Notamacropus eugenii: one gene and its partners. The protein of the gene in region 2 purifies or fractionates together with the protein of the main gene of each other region. This does not show direct contact. Links are inferred from orthologs where the notes say so. Each region holds a gene or a part of one and is shown on either strand. Other genes may lie near its edges.

Region 1 (7,350 bases), on a different chromosome or scaffold from region 2:
CAAAGGGATCCCCAGTATTATTACCAAGGCTCCAGGTCAGAGGGAGCAGTACCCTCATTACGATCTCTCACGATCCAAGGGAAGGACAATGGAATAGAGACAAGAGACTGGGATTCTAGTCCTGGCTCCAGCACATAACTAAGTGACCTTGGGCAGGTCCCTTTACCATTCTGAGCCTCAGTTTAATCATCTGTAGAATTCACCCAACATTAACCATGCACTTACTATGTGCCAGGCCCTATGCTGGTCACTGCGAGACACACAAAGTTTAGATAATTCAGGCTTCTTGCCCTCACAGAACTCCTAGTCTGGTAGGGGAATAAGACCCCAAAACAAATAAAGATAATATTCCAAATTGCGGGACAATTGCATTGACAGGTTTCAGAACCAAGTGCTCTGGGAGATCAGAAGGGAGGCATTTCTAATCAGGGAAGATTCACTGGGTGAGGTGGAAGCCAAAGGGAGAGACAATCCAACCCCAGGTCGGAGGGGGGGAGAGGGGGGATTGTCAAAGGCTACAGACAACTCAGGGAAGGTGAAGACCTAGTGTAGTGTACTGTTGGGGGGAGGGAGGAATGGTGAGAGGGAGAACCAGTGCAATGGGTGATTCAAAGGGCAGTTGGCGACCTTTAAGGCTTTGAGTAGAGCAGTTACAGCAAAAACTAGACTGCAAGGGGCTGATGAAGGACAAAATGAGTCCCAAAGAAGGAGAAACATTAGGGGTAGGTGACGTTTTTCCCAGCCCTTAATCTTAGTGTCTTTCCTCTCAAATTATTCCCAATTCACCAGAGAGAGACAGAGACAGAGAGACAGACAGAGACAGAGAGACAGAGATAGAGAGACACAGAGAGACACAGAGACAGAAACAGAGAGACACAGAGACATAGAGAGAGACAGAGACAGAGAGACAGAGAGATCCTGTTTAAACATAGTTGCTTTCATGTTGTCTTATTAGGTTGTGAGTTCTTTGAAAGCAAAGAACTTTGTTTTTGTTTTTCCCTTCTTTAGATCCCTGCCTCCTAGCACACTGCCTGGCACATAGTTGGTACCTAATAAAGGCTTACTGACTTGTCAGCTTTTCCAGAACTTTAGCTCCAAAGAAGGAGAGAGAGGTAGGAAGGCATGATAGCTTGATGATCAAGGGTCAAGGAAAGACTTTTGAAGGGTTGGGGAAACCTGATTGTGTTTGAAGGCAGCTGGAAAAACTCTGGTGGCCAAGCAAGCTCTCTAAGGAAATGGAGGAGCTGGTGGGGGGGAAGGGTTCAGTCCAAGGGAGGAATGGGGACCCCCTTTGCATTGAGCAGAGAGAAGAAGAGAAGAGTACGTGATGATGGAACAAGCAGAGGGAGCTCCTGTCAGACATCCTCAATCATTTCTGAAGCAGGAGGCTGTCTGCTTTCATTGAGAGGGTTGGCAATGGAACAGAAGCCAAAACAGGAGAAAGATTTGGAACCATCCTTGTAGGGACATGTAACTCCCACGAGGTGGCGATAAGGAGCAGAAGTGACACTTGCTGGGAAAGCCCTTTGTCATCTGGAGAATCTAGTTGGAAATGTGGGGAATGATAACGATGGAACCCAGAGCATTCTTGCTTCTCCCCTGCCCTCCAGAGCCACCTGGATCAATGTCTCTTCTCTTTGATTCATAATAGCTCTTCAGCAGTCTGAAGGCACTTCCTGGTTCTAAAAATGCAAATAACTTTTGCAATATGTCAGGGGATGATTCAACATGAAAATGATTTCACAATGCGCTCTTACAAAGACAACCCCCATACATTCCCAGCCCTCACTGTGACCCTCTGGAAACTTCCACATAACCATCGACAGCTCCCATTTTCACAGGGTCTTATAGTTAAAAATAAAAAAAAAAACTTTATCCCAACCACCTTTTAAGGTAGATAAAGGATCATTTGTTTTTAGTTTGTTTTTTTCAGTTGCTACTGACTCTTTGTGACCCTATTTGGGGTTTTCTTGACAAAGATACTGGAATGTTGTGTCATTTCCTTCTCCAGCTCACTTTACAGATGAAGAAACTGAGGCAAACAGGGTGAAATGACTTGTTTAGTTGCATCTGACTCTTTGTGACCCCATTTGGGGTTTTCTTGGCAAAGACACTGAGTGATTTACCATTTCCTTCTCTAGCTCCTTCTGCAGATGAGGAAACAGGTAAATAGGGTGAAGTGACTTGCCCAGGGTTACATAGCTAGTTAGTCTGAGGCTGAATTCAAACTAAGGAGATGAGGCTTCCTGACTCCAGGTCCAGCACTCTATCCACTATGGCACCACCTGGCTGTCGTATCTCCATTTTACAGGTATGAAAATTGATGTTCAGAGAAAGGGAGTGACTTACTACAGCCACACAGCCTGTAAGCATCAAAGACTGGATTCCAGTACCAAATCAAGGTATCATTCTACTACACCTCTTTCTCCTACTGAAAGGACTATTTATCCAAAGGAAAATGGACTCAGACTTTGGGGAGAGGGGTGATATTTTATTTTTCAAAATTAAATAGTCAAGAGTATTATCTGCCTTAGATTGGTAAATTTGGAGTCAGAGGACCCAAGTTTGAATCCTTTCACTTACAGTATCTGCCTGTCAAAGTTCCTAGTCCTCAGTTTCTTCCTCTGTGAAATGAGGGTCTTACTTAGACTAGCTGATCTCTGAGGTTCACCAGGGTCAGTGGGTGGAAGATGTAAGAAAGTAGACTTCCTAACAGGAAAGGAAAACCTTCCTAACAATTAGAACAGTGCTAATGTAAAATGGGTGACTTAATAGTCGGTCAATTAGCATCTATTAGGCGCTTTACTGTGCACTAAGCACTGGGACTCCAGAGAAAGGTAAAAGACAATCCAAAATACTTCCAAGGAACTCACCATCTAAAGTGAGGAAGTGAGCTCCCCATCACCAGGGATATTCAAATTGAGGCTAAAGGATGACAGAGGTTGAAGAGGGAAGGAGGGTTGGACTAAGTGGCCTCTGAGGGCCCTCTCATCTCTAAGATTCAATAAAGTCTTGATTCTGTCAACCTAACAAGCATTTAGTAAGGGTCCACTGTATGCAAGGGAGGCACAATGGATAGACCCTGTCACACACTGGCTCAAATATGTACTTAAACCCTCGAGTAGAAATTGCAAGTGATGGATTGGCTGAGAGTTGCCTAAAATAATGAAAAAATAGATTCCTACCTTTAAAAAAAAAACCAGGAATGGAGGTTTTATTTTTAGTTCTGGTCCTATACTTTTATTGGCATAGCGAACTTCTAGGCAGGAAACTCCCTCTACCAATACACACATCAGCTATTTGTGGTTTGTAACCAAAGAGAACAGAAGGGGCAGCACAGAGAAGCAGGCTGGGAGTCAGGAGGCCCTGGGCTCACATCCAACGTGACCCTGAGCAAGTCATGTCACCCTGTTTGCCTCAGTTTCCTCATCTGTCACTGCTCTCTACCCACTTCACTGCCTCTCAGAACTAAAAGACTTTGGGAGAGGGGGCACTAGCCCCTAGGGATGGAGGAAATCCCATCGGTTACAGCTTCCAGGGAGGCAGGCAGCAGGGCGTGGTGGGACTTTGTCCGAAGATCTGGGTTTGAACTGGAACGTTAGAGGAAGTAACAGGATGACTCTGGGCAAGTTTAAATAAAACATCTGTAAAAGGAGGAAGGTTGGTCAAGGTCTCTTCCAGCTCCATGATCCTACAATCAGGTGATGGCACTCTCATGACCTGGGTTCCAATCCTGCCTCTGCCGCTTACCAGTTGGGCAACTCTGGAAGGAAGGAGATAATAAGCACGTATTAAGCTCCTATTACGTGCCAGCCACTGTGTTCAGAGTTCTGTAACTATTGCCTCTTTGGGGCAAGTGCTCTGTGCCTCAGATTCCTCATCTGTAAAATGGGGGTGGTGCTAGCTCCCTCCCAAGGTTGCTAAAGGGACAAATAGAGAAAATGCCTGTCACATGCACAGCAGACCTTAACGCGCCCTGTGGACGCTACCAGCTGTTTTTATCGTTACTCCTCATTGCAACGACCCCGGAGGCCAGGCGCGCAAGTAGCGCAGAGAGCGGGCAGCGCGCGCCGGGGCTGCTGCGGCTGGCGCTGGGGCTGGAGCAAGAGCGCTCCAACAGGTATTCGATGCGCTCGGCGCTCCTCCCCTCTCTCTTCTCCCTCCTCCGCTCCCTCCCCGCCCCTCGGGCTGGCCGCCTGCCGCGGTGGAGGCGCTCTGCGCTCGGCTGCGGAGGCCTAGCGGCTCTCCCCTGTCCTCTCCCTCTCAAGATGGCGGCTGTCGGCGGCGCTGAGGCGGGAGCCGGGCCCGCGGAGTGAAGGTAGCGGCGAGCAGCGACCCCGCCCGTCCCGGCCAGCCGGGGCCCCCTGGCGCCCGCCCCTCCCAACCCGCGCCCAGCCGCCGCCCCAGGCCCGCGCTGGCAGCCCCAGGCCGCCTCCCCGCGCCGCGCGGCCTAGGCCCCGGGCCCGAGCCGGGGGCTGGAGTGGCAGCCACGGCCCGGCGTGAGGCGGCGGCCCGGGGCGGCCGGAGTGGGGCCGACGGGGGCGGGACGCGTTCAAACAGAGAAGGCGGGAAAGTGGCGGCGGGGGCCGGGGGCGGGAGCGCGCGCGCGGGGACGCGCGAGGCCGAGGCAGCCCCGCCCCCCGCGCCTGCCCAGTGCCCGCCCCCGCCGCGGGGGGCGCCCTGGAGGCCGCGGGTTCCGGAGCGAGGCTGGAGCTGGGAGTCGGCAGGCGGGCGCGGGGCTGGTGGGTAGGGGGAGCGCGGATGCAGTGAGCCAGGAGGGTCCAGCCCTGCCCCTTCCACCCTACAGGCGGGGAAACTGAGGCACGGGGCAGGGAAGGAGGGTAGAATGCCCATGTGATCCCGGGGAGGCCGAACCCCCAATCTGGAGCACCCGAGGACGCCAGATTTGGAGCTGGGAGGGATCTTGGAGGTCCAGTTCAACTGCCCTCGGTTTTACAGATGGGGAAACTGAGGCACGGGGCAGGGAAGGAGGATAAACTGCACCTTTGAGCCTGGGGAGTCTGATTCCGCAGCCTGGATCATCCGAGGACGCCAGACTTGGAGGCCAAAGGCACCTCCGGAGCTATCCAACCCAACCTCTTCACCCCCATTTTTTGCAGATGGGGAAACTGAGCAAGAGCAGGGACTTTAGAGGTCAAGTTCAACTGCCCTTGTTTTTACAGATGGGGAAACTGAGGCACGGAGCAGGGAAGGAGGGTAGAATGCCCCTGTGAGCCCAGAGGGGCCGATTCCCCAGTCTGGAGCACCTGAGGACACCAAACTTGGAGCTGAAAGGGACCGTATAGGTCAAGTTCAACTCCCCTCATTTTTTACAGATTGGGAAACTGAGTCAGCACAAAAGCAAGAGAATAGAATGTATCCATGGGTCCAGGTCTTCTGACCCCTAGTGTAAAGAATCCAACGACCCTCACCTTAAAACTGGAAAAGACTTTCGAGGGCATCCAGTCCAATTCCTTCATTTTATTGAGAAGGAAACTGAGTCACAGAAAGGGCTATAGATCCATAGACTTTGAGCTAGAAGGGATCTGAGAGGTCTTCAAGTCTCACCTTCCTGTTTAATGTTAGGGAAACTGAGGCCCAGAAGGGTCATGAGATCGTAGATTTAAATCTAGAAGCATCTCAGTGGTTATCTAGGCTGCCCTCCTCATTTCACAGACCAGGAAATTGAGGCATAGAAAAGGGAAAGAGTATAGAATAGATCAGTGAGTTCAAGTCTTCTGGTCCCATAGAACCATTGACTCAGAACAAGGAAACTTGAGACCCTAAAGGCCTTCTTGGTGCACCCTCCCATTTAGCAGGTGGGGAAACTGAGACTGAGATGTGTGTTAGATTTAGAACCCTAAGTACTTCCTCCAGGCCTTCGTGGTATAGGTGTGAAAACTGAGACCTCGAAAAGGCAAGCAGTTTGCCTAAGAAAGGTAGAAGGTGGTGACAGTTATTCGAACCCTTGACTTCTTCCATTAACCCACAGGAGGGACCAGAACTCATCTATCCTAATTCCCAGTCCCAACTGGAAGAGAATTTGAGGATAATCTAGCCCAGACCCATTTGTAGGTAGGCACTGAACGGAAAGGCAGATATCTGCTCCCCAGGCTGGCAGATCGTGGCTCTAGGAGGGACTTTTAAAAGTGAACTGGTGCAAGCCTGTCATGTTGTCTGTGGTCTCTCTCAAATGCCCATTGAATCCTAAGTACCGGAGATCCAAAGACAAAGCCTAAGCCCCAGAGAATGGACCAGAACTAAGGGCGGCTCCCTGGGCCAGGCTGTCAGAGTATCCTGCCTGGATTTAGAGCTGGCAGGCACGAGAGTTCGTCCCAGGACGCCCTCTCATCTCACAAGTGAGGCCCGGAGAGCGGATTCTGCTCCCCAGTTTAGGGGGTCACCCTCTAGAGCCAGAAGGGGCCTGAGAGGCTCTCTAAGTTAACCCCCTTTTACAGCTAGCAATCTAATCCTACAAGCATTTATTGTAAACACCAGGGCTGTGTTCTAGGTACTAGGGAGAAACAGACCAACAGAGGGGGAGAAACTAGAATCTAGATGTTTCCATTCCCAGCCTACCAGCTCACAAAGAGCACAGATTTTGAGCTGGAAAGGACCTAATAGAGATACCCTGGTCCTAGCCTGCAGTTTTACAAATGAGGAACCAAACTCAGAGGGGGAAAGGGGCTTGTCCTATATTTTAGCTGCATAACTTCTCCACCCAGAGCCTTGCTCCAGTGCCTAATGGGTCCATGAAGGCAGCCTGGGTTCTAGGGAGCCACCTCAGGGGAATCTAAGGGCTGGCAAGGCTTCCGAGGTGACTGTGGCCAGGCTGCAACAAGCCTAGAAGCACTTTCTGCTGAGCCACCAGGAAAAGAGTCATGCTCCCATCGGTGTAGCTGCCATGTGAAGTGGAGACTTCAATAATCTGCACAGTGAATACAACAGTAACTAGTCAGAGGGACCCAAGGGAACAGGTGCAGTCCCCTCCAGATCTCTTCTGGGATTATTCTTCACTAATGTGCTCTGTGTGTGTTAGCCTTGTCTCCAGAGCTGGATCCTAGGATTTCTCCCTGGGAGAGAGCTGAGAGGTCATGATCTCCTTTCCTGGCGGTTCGACTGGGAAAGTGTGCCCCCAGGATGAGACAGTCTTGGTGTCTCTGGGGCTTAACACGGCTCCTGGCACACAGTAGGCACTTAATAAAGGATTCTCGGATTGAGCAAGTAGCAGAGCCGAGGTCCTTGCAACCCAGGACCTCTCTATACAAAGCTTTCCATCAAGCCAGCTGCTTCCCTGGGTAATTTGGGAGCTTTGTTTTCATCTTGGAGAAGGCAGCAAGGTATGGGAGA
Region 2 (7,870 bases):
AAGCCTTAAAAACCAGATACCATGTCCCAAAAAGTAAGAAAAAAACCTTTAGGAAGTAATATAGCAATTGTGCTATTTCAAACCATCTACTCCTCAAACTTTATATTAAAAACTAAAATATTAGTATTTGTAAACAAGTTTTCAAATTCAAAACATATACCTTACAGAGTTATGGTACCCACTGTAAAATGATAAAAACTTTTCTATTAAACAGACTGAACTACCAGTCTGTACCAAGTACAGACTTTTTAACTACTACCATATGAAAAGGCACATAATAAACCCACCAGTTTAAGACAAAGTTAAAGTGGATGATGACATTTTAAATTAATTAAAGGGAGTAGATATAACTCCTCTTTACTTAGCCTTCAAAAACAGGAGTTCAAGCAAGCTAAAACTGCCTTGCCAAAATGTCTCAACTCTAACTTTAAAAAACTTTCTCCAAAGGAGTGTTATTCAGTCTGCAAGGAGGACTGGAACCTTTCAGTCTGGCTCATTCAGTTGTGTGATCCTTAACAGAAAAAGACTCAAGAGAGAAGAGGAAGAGAAGAAGGGAGAGGGAAGGGGGGGGAGGAGAGAGAAAAAGAGGGGGGAAGGAAGAAGAGGGAGAGGGAGAAGGGGGAGAGGGGGGGAAAGGAGAAAGAGAGAGAGAAAGGGGAGAAAGGGGGGAGAAGGAGAGAAAGTACAAGAGCTGTGATTTCTTAAGGTGAATGCTCTTAGTGGCATACCAACTGACAAAATTGAAATTTGCACACATCACTAATATCTTCAAGAGATAAATGCTTAATGTTACTTTTTCATTTCAGTAAAAGAACAAAAAGAAAAAAATGAACATTTTCTTGCTTTCAGACACGAAATGGCATCTTTAACCCAATCAATGAGTTTCTTTAGAGGCAAAAGAATAGAAATGGATTAGTTAGATGAATTCAATACAAGTTGAAAAATAAAAATTTAAGTATTTCATACTACTTGAACATTTTATCTATAAATACTGATAAAAAATAAAAGGCATCATATTCTTGTAAATTAGAAATATGTTCTTATGAAAATTCACTTGGGGGGTGGAAAGGAGTCTTTAAAAAAGATGCTAATTGATCCCAATCGCCAAAATTACTGAAGAAAAACAGGACAGGCTGCCATTAAAAGCCTTAAATACATTTTTCCACAACTGAGTAAACTGCATCTATCTTGTTTAGCACAAAGCTTCAATCGTGATTTTTAACCAAATGCATTTCAGTACCGGTCTGAAGAAACTTCCTTGAGAAAACAGGAGAGTATGAGTTACCATGGAGGAGCCTCTTACCCACCAAGGCTGAACTTTCAAACTCAATCATCTAAGGTGAAAAAAATCTACACTGTAATAAATCCTCCAGTTCTTTTTTGAAATTGATCCAAAAGTTGATCTTCAAAATTTACTTTCAACGATCAACTCCATCTTCTGCAACAGGTGACATGAAACTCTACTCCCCAAGGAACATGGGGGTGCTTCTAAGAAGGAAACTGCTTACATGAGACTGAGGGAGACAAATATTGTCATCTGGGATTTTACAAAACTGAATTTTAACCAAATGTACTCTTTTAGTCGGATTTTTTTTTAAAGCAGCCACCTAAGGGCAACTGTTGCATGTGCCCGTGAACACACAAAGAATGAAAACAAACACACGTATGGCTAATTAAGGTTTCCCCCAACAACACAAGTGGTGGAGCTAATTCCTTGAGACAATTGCAAAACCACACAAAGCAAGAAATGTGAAAAGAAAAGAAGCACGAGTAGAAGCAACATTATGTACATGTTTACACCCTAAACAACTCCCTCCGTAGGATCCCTGCTAAGAGAGGAGACTCAGCCACTAAAGAGAATTCACATTAAGCCATGCAAAGTGGCTCGCTACACAAGAGGATTCTTCACCTTAAAAAAAAAAAAGGAAGGCGATGGCTACGTGCATGGCCGTCTCAATCCTGCCTGGAGGAAAGGCTGCACTAGCTCCAGTTTTGGGGGTGGGGGGAAAGTGGGGGAGAGGGAGAGAGAGAGTGTGGCCTGCCAACTGCAACAATGCAATCTCCATTTTGAACAATGCACCTCTTTCCTCTGGTAAATCTAGTTTTTTGCCACTTGATGTGCGATTGCATTTCCCCTCTCTTTGGGGGTGAGATGGGGGGTGCCGCTACAGCAGGATGCACCGTGCAGGACGGACACGGTGAGTGTGTGTGTGTGTGTGTGTCTTCGGGGTGGAGGGGTGAGGGGTGGATGGAGCAGGGGGAGAAGGTGGAGGGTGGAAGGCTAGCCCCGAGGCGGCCGGGCTGGGTGGGTACCTGGGGTGCTGCTGTAGGTGCTGTGGCTCCTGAAGCTGCTCTCGGTGCAATAGCTGGCATCGTCGTCGTCTTCCATTTCCTCGGGATAATCGGAGTCGTCGTCGTCGTCGTCCTCCTCCATAATATCTTCCTCCTCCTCGTCCTCCTCGGAGTCCTGCGTCTCCTCGGGGTCCCCCTCCTCCTCCTCCTCTTCCTCGGAGACCATGTCCTCGTCCTCGTCCTCCTCCTCGCTCTCGTGGTCATCGTACACCACTTTGCTGATGCTCCTCCTGGACGGGGTGGCCCGGGCCAGGTGGCCTCCGCTGCCGCCGCCGCCGCCGCCGCCGCCGCCCCCGCCTCCAGCTCTGCCTCCCCCGCCTCCTCTCCCCCCCCGGCCCGGGGCGCCGGCGCTGGGGCTGCTGCTGGGGGGGGCGGCCGGCGGCGGCGGCGGCGGCGGCGGCGGCGGTGGCGGAGGCTTCCTCCGGCTACCGCCGCCCCCCCTGGGGGAGCTCAGCCGCGCCTTGGGCGCCACCTCTGCCTGGGCGGCGGCCCACCTGCCCCGGCTGCTGCCTCGGTGCCGGGAGCGGAGCCCCCCGATGGGCCCGGCCGGAGGCGGCGGTGGCGGCGGCGGCGGCGGCGGCGGCGGCGGGGGAGCCGGGGCGCCGCGCTCCGCAGCGCCTGCCGCGGGCTGCTTGGGCGGCCTGCCCCGCCTGCCCCTCATGTCGGAGCCGAGGAGGGAGGGAGGGAGAAGGGAAAGCCGAGGGGGGGAGGGGGACCGGCCGAGAGGCGGCGGTGGGGAGCCGCTGGGGGCGGGGTGGGGAGCCCCGCGGGGTCGGGGCGGGGGGGGCCCGGCCGGCGGAAGCGGGTGGAGGGAGAAGGCTCAATCCGAATTGCCGGCGCCCCGCTCCCGATCGCCTCCAGCCGCCATCTTGTTTCTTCCCTCTCGCTCGGTGACTGGGGGAACCGACAGCGGCAGCAGGCCTGGAGCGCGGTCACGTGAACGCCCCCGCCGACGAGGCCGAGGCCGACGCAACGCAGCCTCCTCTAGGGGGAGCGCGGGAGCCTGCAGCCCGGCCCGGCCAGCTGGCGGGGGCGCGCAGAGGGGGGAGCCCGGGAAGCTTGGGGCCCGGGGCGCTGGGGGCCCTGAAGGACCGGAACGGGGGGCGGCGAGGGGTGAACTAGGTATTTTAAATGAGCCCTACCCCTCTTGGTGACGAAGACCCAGCCAGGGAGAGACTATCGGGACTATTACAGTCCTTACCTCTCCACCCATTCCTCCCCCCCCCCCAGTAGCTGAAAAACCCGAGAAAAGGGAAAACCCCCAAATTAAAGTGGTGGAGAGACCCCTCCCAACAAAACTGGAGCCAAACTAGATTTGCAGGCGCGATGCTGAGCAGTGCTGCATGGGGACCGGGGGAGGAAGTAGGAAGGGGGGGAGGAGCAAGCATTTCAGCCGGAGCGAGACACTGAGGCCGGGCACTGGGCAGCACCAGAGACAGAGACCCTGGGAGGGAGTGCCTGCGGGCGGCAGAGAGGACTCGCGAGCACTCGGGGAGCGCTGGGTCCTGGAAAATCCTGCCTCCGAACCCTAACCACGACACCTCTGAGGGTTCAGGAACCCCGCCCCTGCTCTTCCAGAGTAGCATTAAAGGCGACTCCAGAAGTGAGGACTGTACTGGAGAGGCACCAGCCCCGCCGCCCCGGCTCTGGGGTTTGACAGCTTCGGTCCGAAAGTGCCTCCCCACGCAGCCGGCACGCGCGGTGGCAATAACCCGCATTGATCCTCTTCCACTTCCCCATGCACCTAGACACGCAGAAGTGAAGTGCTCCTAAACTTCAGACAAACTTCCCAGTGCCACCCTTGCCCGGCTGTTTACTCCCAACGTTTGAGGCTTTCATTTTTAAAGACGACCACCTGTTAATTTCATTTTTAATTGGGTATATTTAGGATTTAATGTAGCATTGTATCTTAATTACAATACAATGGTGTTCTATGCCACTACAAGTCATTGGTAGGCCGCTGAGGTTCATAAGGAGGACTGGACCCTTTCTAAAGTAGTGGGACAAATCTTCCTCTATGTACACCTCGCACCCTCGTGGATCTGTGGCAAGGATATGCAAGCTACCCACATACACATACCTACACTATTCTGTGAGTTGGGCCAGTGAACGATACTGAGGAAACACCCTAACCTCTATGAACAGTAGAGCAAAGGATGATTGGGAGGAGGGAAAAGATCGAACTTCCCTATAGGTTTCTCCCAGAGTCCTGGCCTCCGTACACTTCTGACTACCTTTTAAATTGCAAGTGCCCCTGGTGGCATTCCGATGTTCAATTTTCTAAGCTAACATCTGAATTATCTGCTAAGGATTAGCTAACATTCAGCTGAGGAAGCAACAATGGGATACAGGAAAGGTACACAGAAGCAAAAAGGCGCTGATTTTTAAAGCTCAAACTTTACCGCTTTCACAATTAATGTTGTTTAACCCTTAAGGCCCTGATCATGCCACTCAAAACTTACCTGCATGTCACCTTCGACATGCTGGAACCACCATCATTACTACTGATAATAAATCAACTGACTCACACTTGCCATGTTGCTGTCACTGTGCTAGGTGCTGGGGATTGTTTCAAAAATGGAAATAATCCCTACTTTCAAGGAGCTTGTATATTAATGGAGGAGATCGTATATGTTATACCTCCTCTGGGCCCTCAAGTCTGCGGCTGGGATCACCAAAGTGGTGACTGTTACCTCTGGCTTTTGGGGTTTTTTATTTGTATAACCCAACGAGTGGCTACTCCTACTATTGTTGCTCATGAAGCCTGACCAGTGTGTTTTCTCTTATCAGCCGCAGCAAAAACAGTTGATACAAAATATTCTTTCAGAAAAAAAACCTGGAACACTTTCTCCAACAAATACACAGTCTCAAGTGATAGGCACATATTTAAAGAATACTAATGAGGTATTCAAATAGGGAATTCTCACAGCTAAGGCAACTTATAACTGTGGAACTGCAGGGACTTAATGTCATTTCTCTATCAAGTCCTCACAAAGCTCATTGTGGGTGAGATATTCATGAAGGCTGGGATTCTCTGATGCTAGTATAAACTGGCTTCCCTCAGAGCGTATCATCTCTGATGGATGAGTGACTGATTTGGTCTTGCTTGTCACAGAGAAAATTGTCTAAAAAACTAAAAATGAAAGTCTATGGGTTTTGAAGAGTAAACTAACCCCTCCTGTAGCTGCTAATGAGTATGTGGAAAAATTGTTTGGTTAAAAATCTGAATGGACCTGTAACTCCCCCAAATCCAGATTATGAGCTTCTCACCAGTCCCTGATATCACTCCTTGATAGGCAGCTGTGTCTTCACCATGTCCAGCCTTATACTTGTCTGGAATGTACACTATACTCTTTCAGAAAAGACAGAGGCCTTTACCCTTAGATTAGCAGAAACTCCAATTCTGTTCCTTCAGGACATTGGCTCTGAGGTTTTCACCTCTCAGGCAGAAGGTAGAAGAGTTATGGCCAGCGGTAAGTGATAGCCAGCTCATACTAAGCTGATTATCACATTTTCAATAGGAGCATTTATACCTCAAAAATCAGCACATGATTTTTTGATTATCTAAACTTGAGAAAGTGATAGGAATAAAACCATTATTAATGGAGATTAAACTTATGTATGGAGCATCCACCCTCACCCACCCCACGCCCCTTGCCAAGAGCTAGTTGTTAAACATTTTTACCAGTACAATGCTGGGTATAGCTTTTCCTTTTAGCCACTTTTCCCAGTTCAGGGCTGGGATCTTTCACTGAGGGACCTCATCCTAATTTACAGTGACCAATCAGTTGTTTGTTCAATCATGTTTGACTCTGCATGACCCCATGTCCACAGAAATTCCTTAGCAAAGATACTGGAGTGGTTTTTCATTTCCTTCTCTGGTATGTCCCCATTTTACAGATGAGGAACTGAAGCAAATAGGGTTAAGCGACTTGCCTAGAACCACATAACTAGTAAGTGTGTGAGGTCACATTTGAACTTAGAAAGATGAGTCTTCCTATCTCCACATCCAGCACTCCATCCACTTCACCACTCAACTACCCTGGCCAACTAGTATTTTTCCCAAAATTCCATTTCTGCAGGTTAGGTCATTATCAGCCTATAACCACGTAGCAAATAATCACCAAAAGGTCTGAGGTTTGGGGTGTCCCAGTTTGGGGGGGGGGTTGTTTTATTTTGTTTTTATCTCTAGTTTCCTCCTATTAGTCCTTGGAATGAATGGCTGAGGAAAAGGTACTGAGTTAGATAATTTCTGCCCTGGCAGCAAGTTCATTTTGTTTGCTGGTTGTTCAGATGCTTCCTAACTTTTTCATATACAAAGGAGAAGTTCAAAGGCCTTTAAGACACATTTTCAGTTGTATGAGACTCTTTGTGACCCCGTTTGGGGTTTTCTTGGCAAAGATTTCCTTCTCCAGCTCATTTTACAGATGAAGAAACTGAGATAAACAGGGTTAAATGACTTCCCTGTGTGGCAGGGTCACAGAACTAGTGTCTAAGCACTGATTTGAACTCAGGAAGATGAGTCTTCCTGAATCCAGGCCCATCTCTCAATCCACTAAACCACCTACCTGCCCATTGAGACAGGTCGGATGATTCTATCATATTTGAAAGACCCTTATTCAGATCTCATGTCAATCAATCAGTATTTATTAAGTGCCTACTTTATTAAGTGCCTGGGGAATCTAAGAAGGGGCAAAAGACAGTCCCTGTCTGTTATACATGTGTGGTTTTTTCTTTGCAGAAATATTTCAAATGCTTCTTTTATTGAATATCTATGTTTTTTCATTGATATTAGGCTTAGATTTTTAGGGTACATCCTTTTGGGTTGCATATTGAGCTCCTTTGCCTTTTCTTCCATTCTCTTCTATGATTTTTGGTGGGTGAAAATATTCTTATGTTATTCTAATCTCCTTTCCTTTACATCTTAAGGTTTTTATTCTGATTACTTCTTTGTCACCAAAATTGCTAAATTTAACCACTGTGTGTTTTGGAGTGTGAAACATAAGTTATTTTGTTTTCATGGAGTTCATCTATGAATTCTTTCAATTAGCTCTTTGTTATTCATATTCAAAAGTTCTAGGAAATTTTCTTATATTATTCTTAGCATTATGGTGTTCAGGCTTTTTGATTTGTCATGTTATTTGTTGGCTTATGATCCTTACGTTGTCTCTGGATCCTGTCTTTGAGAATAATATGTTTTGCTCATATAGATAGCTTGCATTATTTTAACATTTTTGCTTTTTTCTTCTTCCAGATAATCCTTCACTTCAATATATTTATATTCCTAATCTATTGTCTTTTTCACTTCTTTGGACAGACTCACTCCCATGAACTCAAGTTTTTCTCTTCTGCTAATTATTTCTGCTGTGTAAGCCATACATTTTGCCATTTGTTCCTGCCTAACTTCTCTCAAGATTCTGATTTCTCTCTTGCCATTAAGGAACCAACATCCATGCTCCTGGTAATCCACAGAATTTTGTGTTTAATCAGGCGTTGTTTTAGTTTCCTTTTCTAGCAA
Region 3 (7,042 bases), on a different chromosome or scaffold from region 2:
TGCCGTGGCTTTTGAGGATGTTGCAACTAGGTTAAGGCAGGGTGGGCATTCTGCCTGGCTGTTGATGTTTACTTACAACATTGTCTTATTTTTCTCCTCTTATTTGCTTTTTTCTCCATTTTGCTCTCATGGGGAGCTGGAGAAGCTCTATCCCCCCAGAGATTGGAGTCTTTGGTTTGAGATCAGCCTTGACATGCTGCAGGGTTTTTGACCCTGTCCTGAGAAAGGCAGAATGACAAGTACTTAGGATAAAGAACTAAGGATCAGGGAGATCAGCTTAGTGGCAAGCTAAGCTAAGATGACACTTTATGATGGATCAAAAGGGGGAAAATCTAGGGAGATGAATGTAGATTAACATTAGAAAGGTTATCAAATGCTATTAAAGGTCAAAGAGAACTCCTAAATAAACATATTTGTGTGCATGTATGTGTGGCTATATCCATACATATGTATATATGCATATATAGATATAAATAGATAATAGATAAATATATATATCTATCTTTATATATGCATAAAGAGAGAAGTGAGCTTACTGTATTATACACCATCTTTACAAGGCTGTTTTTAAAGCACAGCAGTGCCAGTCCCAGCCCGGGCACCCCCTTATATACTGTCTGGGGTACTGACCTCACAAGAGCCTGATGAGGTAAGCAGGCCTTTATGATGTGAATTTTCCAAATTAGGTAATTGGGCCTCACCAAGATAAGTGATTTGAGGGACTGACAGTTGTAATTCAGCAGAGTTGGGAACTGGAAACTTCTGATTCCAAATCTAAACCTTCTTTTCCATCACCACAATGGCTCCCAACCTCAATGGGTCTGTGGGACACAAGAAATCCTGATTCAAAGCAATCTGCATTGTTATTTTTTTTAATAGCAACTTTATTGAGGCCTTTTATCTTCATAACACAATCTTTCTTTCTCCATTCTTGGATGCCTTGTTTTGGTTTTGCTTCCCCCCCCCCCCCTTAGGGTTCAATTTCTTTTTTTTAGCGATCTTTTCATTTCCATCAGCATAGAAATTGTGCTCCTACATTCCCTCTTTCCCACTAGGGAGCCCCTCCAACTTCTAGTGGTCCCAACTCCTCTGTGAAGATTTTACTTTTTTTCTGTAATCTAATTATGTGTGTATATTGTCTTGCCTAATAGAATATAAATTCCTTGAGTTCAGGGGTGATTTTCTTGCTTTGTAATTATATCCCCAGGACCTCCTGGTGCCTATCAATAGATCTTGTCTATTCTCTGAATTTCTCCTATTTGTCATTTCTCCCTGCATGCAATATCCCATCCCATTCATCTGGCACTATTTGTTCAACCACTTCTAAACTGCATTAACTTTTCCTCATTATATACAAAGTTCTGGGGCAATTCCTCAGGATTTTGAGGAAGCTCCTTGTAGTAATCTCTCTTCAGAAGACAAACTTTCTTTTGATTAAGATTTAGAGCCAGAGTCCTTTGGGCCTAACTATGGAACTCTGTCAGTGGAATCACAGTGTGGTTTGGTGTATCTGTCAAGATGCCAGATCTGAGAAAAACATCGGGACAATATTGAAACTGTTATACCCGTGGTGATCCCTGTCTTAGGAGAGTATTAGACAGTAGCAGTAACTCTTTAAAGATCTTTTGTCAGCTTGTAAACAAGATTGGATACCCTGAAATAAGTCAGAGAATCCTGGAATGTCAGAACTGGAAGAGACATCACCTATTTAATTCAACACTCAGACCTGACTAAGAATTCCCCTCTATGGTATCCCTGGTAAGTAATCTTCCTATCCACTTTGCCAGCTAGCTGCCCCAAGAAGTTATGTCTTGTCTATACAGTCAGTATATGTTACAGATGGGACTTGAATCCAGATCTTCTTGACTCCAAGGCCAGGCCTCTACCTAATATGCTGTGATGTCTGGTCCAAAGGGAAGTATGACCAAGTGGGTGTTCAGGTCCTACTTCTGATACTACCTGTGTGATCTTGTCATTTATTCTCCCCAAGCCTTAGTTTCCTCATCTGTAAAATAAAGGGATCAAACTAGGTCTCTGACTTTATGATAATATACATATATAGGAAGTTTTCAGAATATACACTTTTAAACAGTGTGGTTTTAAAATCAAATTGTTTATTTTCCTGGGAAAATGTAATCCTGTTTCCAAGGGCTCAAAAGTAGGCAATTGATCAATGAAGGCCTCCTTTAGTGGGCACCTTTCTCCTGCCTTTGTAAGGAAATGAATTGCAGAGAAAAGAAAAAGGAGTGTATTTGTGTGATCAAAGAACTGAGAGCTGGAAGGGGCTCTTCATTTTCCAGATGAGGAACTGAGGCCCCAAGAAGGGGGGGAAGGAACTTGCCCTAAGGTCATACAGTGAATGCAGAGCCTGGAGCGAAACTCTTGTCTTCTGATTTTCCAGCCAAAGCCCTCGATTCTCAGCACTCTGCAAAGTCGGAGTTGTTCCCACTTGAGGGACTGACAATCTGGTGAGTTTCCAAAGTGAGCAGGAAGAATTTTGGAGAGAGAATTAAGGATATGAAAGAATTGAAGCTGGTATCTCTGAGAGTCTCCCCTTTCTGTGCGCATTATTGGTGGATATCTCTCCTAGCCACCCAGATCTTTCAAGCCCCCTTTCCCACAATCAAAACTTGCCCAAGGAAATGGGAATCTTTCTCATAAATTGCAATAATTAAAAACTTCTCTCTTCCTTGGCTAGTTATGTTTTCTGATGTGCTTTATATAATCTTTAGTGAAAGCAATGAAGCTCTCTCTGATCTTGTAATTTTAGACATTTGCTAGGTTGTGGAGGTATTTTTGTAGGGAAAGGAGGGAGAAAGGTGTTTTTCTCCTCTCCCTGCCTCCATCCCAAAGTGCCTGACACATAGAATCATAGCTGTGGAGCTGGAAGGGATCTCAGAAGCTCCCTGGTCCAGCCCTGTTATTGGACAGAGGAGGAAACTGAGGCCAGAGAGGTGAAGGGACTTGCTCGAAATTACAGGTGTAGACATTTCAATCCAAATTCTCTTATTCATTCCAGAGCTAGGTTTTGGTCCACAGTGACAGGTTACCTTCTCCACATTAGGGATTTAAAGAAATGGTTGATAGACTGGATTAGAAAGCAGACTGGCAAGGTCCCCAGGGTGGAACTAATTAATTCTCAATTTTTCAATCTGTAGCTTTTTGGAGGGGGGGGGGGGTACACTGCTTTCTTTTAAACCTTTTTTAATGACGGATAATTTAAACTCTGCAGGTTGGAAAGAAAATAGAGGGAAAAAAACACAGGAGTTCAAGTCAAATCAAGAAGCCTTTATTAAGCACCTACTATGTGCCAGGTACTATGTGAAACTTTGGGTTAGCATTGACAAGTGAAGGCCTTTGGGAGGACTGCTCATCCCACTGTGTCAGTCTCAGTGGGGGGCCTGGAGAATGCAAATTGCCCAGCTTCCCGTTTGGGACTGTAGACATAAATTGTTTTTAGATGCACCCAATATCTGAGTGCCCAGTCTGCTCCAGGAGCCGAATGCCGGCTGTTAAGTCAGAAAACCGCTTGCTGTGTGACTATGGATGCCTCTTCCTTTGCTTCTGCGTGCTGGGTTTTCCCACCTGTAAATGGAGGAGATGGGACTAGAAGGTGGTAATCCCGCAGCCCCTTCCAACAAAGGAAGGGCCAGCGAGTTTCTGGGTTTTGGGGGTGGCCAGAGAGTCCATCACTGGTCTGGGCCTAAAGGCCTGGGTGGAGCTTTGCTCAGGGAATTTTATAAGCAGGGAACCAAGAGCCCTTGGAGGTTACAAAACAACCAAAAAAAAAAAAAAGAAGCTGGACCTCAGTTTGGTTCCCCCTCCCCCTTCCCTCTCTCCTCTCCTTTTTCCCCCTCCCTTTTCTCCCCATCTACGGGTGGTCTATTGGGTGCGCTAGGGGTCGAGGTCGGGGGGGGTGTCGGGGAGAGCGCGTTTGAACGAACGCTCCGGCGCGGGTTGGGAGGGGGGAGTCTCGCGATTGTTGTGGGGGGCGCCGGGAGGGGGGCCACGGGGGGCGGGGAGGGGAGGGGGGAGGCCGTGACGTAGGAGGGCTGAGAAGGAGAAGGGGGCGGCGGCTCTGTGCTCTTGGCTCCCTTCTCCCCTGCTCAGCCGAGGGGGCTCGCAGCTGGCCGCTTCTCCTGCCCAGCTTCCCGAGATCGGCCTGAACCCCGAGTCCCGAGCTCCGAACTCCGAGCCCGCGGCCTCCCCGCCGCAGCCGCCGAGCTCATGGAGCTGCAGCAGTCTGGCCCTGGGGCCAGAGCGGAGGAGGAGCCGGGACCGTCCACAGTTCGGGAGGCGGGAGCGGCCCCCGGGGACCGGGGGGAAGAGGAGGAAGAGGAGGTAGGCTAAGCCTGCCGTGGGGCGGGGGGTGGGGTGGGTGGGGGGCGGCGGGGAGCCTCGCGCTGCCTCACTTCTCCAGCCTCGGCGCCCTTGCCTGCAGGGGTGACCCCCTCCGCGCCCACCGTCGGAGCCGGCGGCATGGGCCTGAGGGAGGAGGCGGGGAGGGGGGGAGGAGCAAGGAGAGGTAGAGAAAAGGGGGGCCGATTGGGCTGGGGCGCGGGGGCCGAGCCCTTGAGGGGCCCTACACTTCCCGAGGGGCTGGGAAAAGAAGCTAATTTGGATCTCTCTTGCTGGGATGGGGAAAGCTCGAGCGAGTCGTTTTCATTGGCTAGCCGGGCCTCGGGGATTGGGGGGTGGAAAAGAAATCGTCTCTGGCCCTGGCAATCCCCACCCCCATCGTCCTAGCCAGGCCACCCTGGACAGCAGCCCCTGAATTTTCCCTTCCCCCTCGCTTGTAGTCCCTCCCAGGAGCAGGGCCTTCTCTGCTGCTGTCTGTCTCCTGTTTCCCGTTCTTTCCTTCAGCCTCAGCCGGTCCCCCGACATACACGCAGTTGAATTTTTTCTTTAAACCGGCATCTTTGGGGATGAGCCACCCTCCGCTTCCCGGATGGGCTTGGGTCTGCTCTGATGGTTGCCCTATAGAATTGATGCTTTGCTGCTCCCCATCTTCGGGCACAGAACCGCGGAGGCATGATGAAGAACCAGAGCTCGAAGTTTTCCCCATTAGAGATAGTATAGGGACAGCTGGGCTGTTGTTGTTCAAAATTGCTTTTGTGATAGCATCTCCATATATTGAGATTTTACCTTTTAAGGCGTGCCAGGCTTGCATTTTTACTATGTAAGGTAATTAACGTGATGCTGCCCGGCCGTCAAGTGACCTGGCTTGGATTATGACGTGATGGTGATGTCAGAGGACCAAATGTCAACCTTTCCAGGGCAATTAATAACTTCTCTCTTGCCTTACCACGTCACAAAATCACTTACTACTCATCCTTATGAGTGATTTAAAAGTCAGCAGATTTTTTTCCTCCCAAAGAACCTGTGGCAGATTTTACTGTTAGAAGCTGGAAGAGGAACACAGCCTAAAAGGAGCCTGTTTAGTGAAATTCTGAGTTCCTTTGCCACTTGACCCTTGAAAATGTTCAAACCTCCCTCTAATAAATTCAACCAGACTTTGCCACAAACAACAGTAGGGAGCAAATCTTAACCAGTTTTTAAATAAAGACTCGAAAGAGCATGTATGTCTTATTCCCTGAGAATGACACTGTACTTTCAAGTGTCCAATAACACTTTAAATCTCCCAAACTGTGAAATAGGATGGTACTTCATCATTAAGGCCAGTGCTGTGCCCTGGCATTTACTTTCCTCTTTATAAAAAGCACAATAGAATTTGTGAACACTGAATGCCTTAACCCTCCCATTCCTGTTAGGCAGGGTGTCCCAAAAGTCTTAGTGCACTTTTCAACCATTACAAACAAACTTTAAACTGCGATTAGACTTTGGGGACACACTGTATATATTGTATGTAGTCACAGAAAATTGTATACTGGGTGTAAGTAGGTTGCAGCATATTAATAATGATGACTTATGAGCAAGAAAAGTAAAAGATACTGAAGACATAGATGAATGATGGGAAAAGGAGGTGGGACATTTTAGCTTCCCTCATGGCCGCCCAGCTGAAGACTCATAAGAGGGCCTCCAGTGGAGGATTTATGGAGGACAAGGACAAGGACGCTGGAAAAACAGTTGTACATCCTGGGCTGGGCCTTCCCAAGCTTTGAGTCAGAGCCTGTATATCAGTTGTGCGTCTGTTGTCTAAGGAACAGAATAGCTGTCAAGAAAGGATCAATGAATGAACAAGGTTGACCTCAGGGTGGGGAATTTTTGAGGTGCAATAATTTCTGAAGACTTGTCTTTACTAAGTTATGTATGGGTTGTGACTTGCATTGGTAGAGGGACTAGCCACACTAATGAAATAACAGAAAATAAAATTTAAAAAATAGGTAGTGTTTTTACATAGCGCTTTAAAGTTTGCAAAGCACTTTACAATCTATTAACTCGTTTGATCTGCACAACTACCCTGCGAGGTAGGTGCTATTATAACACCCATTTTACAGATGAAGAAACTAAGGCATTGAGCTTAAGAGATTGCCCAGGGGCTGAGACAGGATTCAGACTCGGGTCTTGCTCATTCTAACCAGTTGTAGCTCCCTGAATAAAAAGAAAAGAAAAGAATAATCTTTATTATTATTGATAATGATGATAGTATTTATGTGGGGTGTTCCAAATGACTTAGTTCTCGGTTTAAATGACTTAAAACTTCACTAAGACTTTTGGAACCTCCCCCCCACCCCTGCCCCGCCCTCTCCCTCCATAACTTTCTCTAAGGTTGGCCAATGACTTTCCCCTTATATCGCCTCACTTGATCCTCACTTTTCAACCTAGTAAAAGAGATGATATTATTAGCCTCATTCTACTGAAGGAGAAAATTTAATGACCCATTTACCCTCTGCCCTTGGGGACTTTCTTTGTAGATCTATTTGAATAACAATAATAATACCTAGCTAGCATTTAAATAACACTTTAAGGTTTTCAACTCACTTTTCTATCTCATTTGATCTTCACCACTGTTGGGAGAGGTAAGTGCTTTTATTATCCTCATTTTATAAGCAAACTGAGGCTGAGTAAGGTTAGGTTAATA

What was found.
Region 1: the proteins of BPTF (region 2) and HMGXB4 fractionate together in Homo sapiens (co-fractionation; 3 studies listed by BioGRID, with this or other methods). This does not show direct contact. The link is inferred for Notamacropus eugenii from reciprocal best matches to the Homo sapiens genes BPTF and HMGXB4.
Region 3: the proteins of BPTF (region 2) and SMARCA1 purify together in Homo sapiens (affinity purification with mass spectrometry; 4 studies listed by BioGRID and IntAct, with this or other methods). This does not show direct contact. The link is inferred for Notamacropus eugenii from reciprocal best matches to the Homo sapiens genes BPTF and SMARCA1.

The regions. Positions count from the first base shown.
Region 1 is NC_092874.1:292,389,446-292,396,795, forward strand, and holds the start of HMGXB4 (HMG domain-containing protein 4), read left to right. Parts: upstream 1-4,198; 5' UTR 4,199-4,318; intron 4,319-7,350. UniProt on the Homo sapiens protein: Negatively regulates Wnt/beta-catenin signaling during development.
Region 2 is NC_092873.1:328,044,098-328,051,967, forward strand, and holds the start of BPTF (nucleosome-remodeling factor subunit BPTF), read right to left. Parts: upstream 3,154-7,870; 5' UTR 3,014-3,153; coding exon 2,314-3,013; intron 2,199-2,313; exon of another isoform or gene 1,932-2,198; intron 1-1,931. UniProt on the Homo sapiens protein: Regulatory subunit of the ATP-dependent NURF-1 and NURF-5 ISWI chromatin remodeling complexes, which form ordered nucleosome arrays on chromatin and facilitate access to DNA during DNA-templated processes such as DNA replication, transcription, and repair.
Region 3 is NC_092879.1:51,279,983-51,287,024, reverse strand, and holds the start of SMARCA1 (probable global transcription activator SNF2L1), read left to right. Parts: upstream 1-4,038; 5' UTR 4,039-4,227; coding exon 4,228-4,341; intron 4,342-4,886; exon of another isoform or gene 4,887-5,102; intron 5,103-7,042.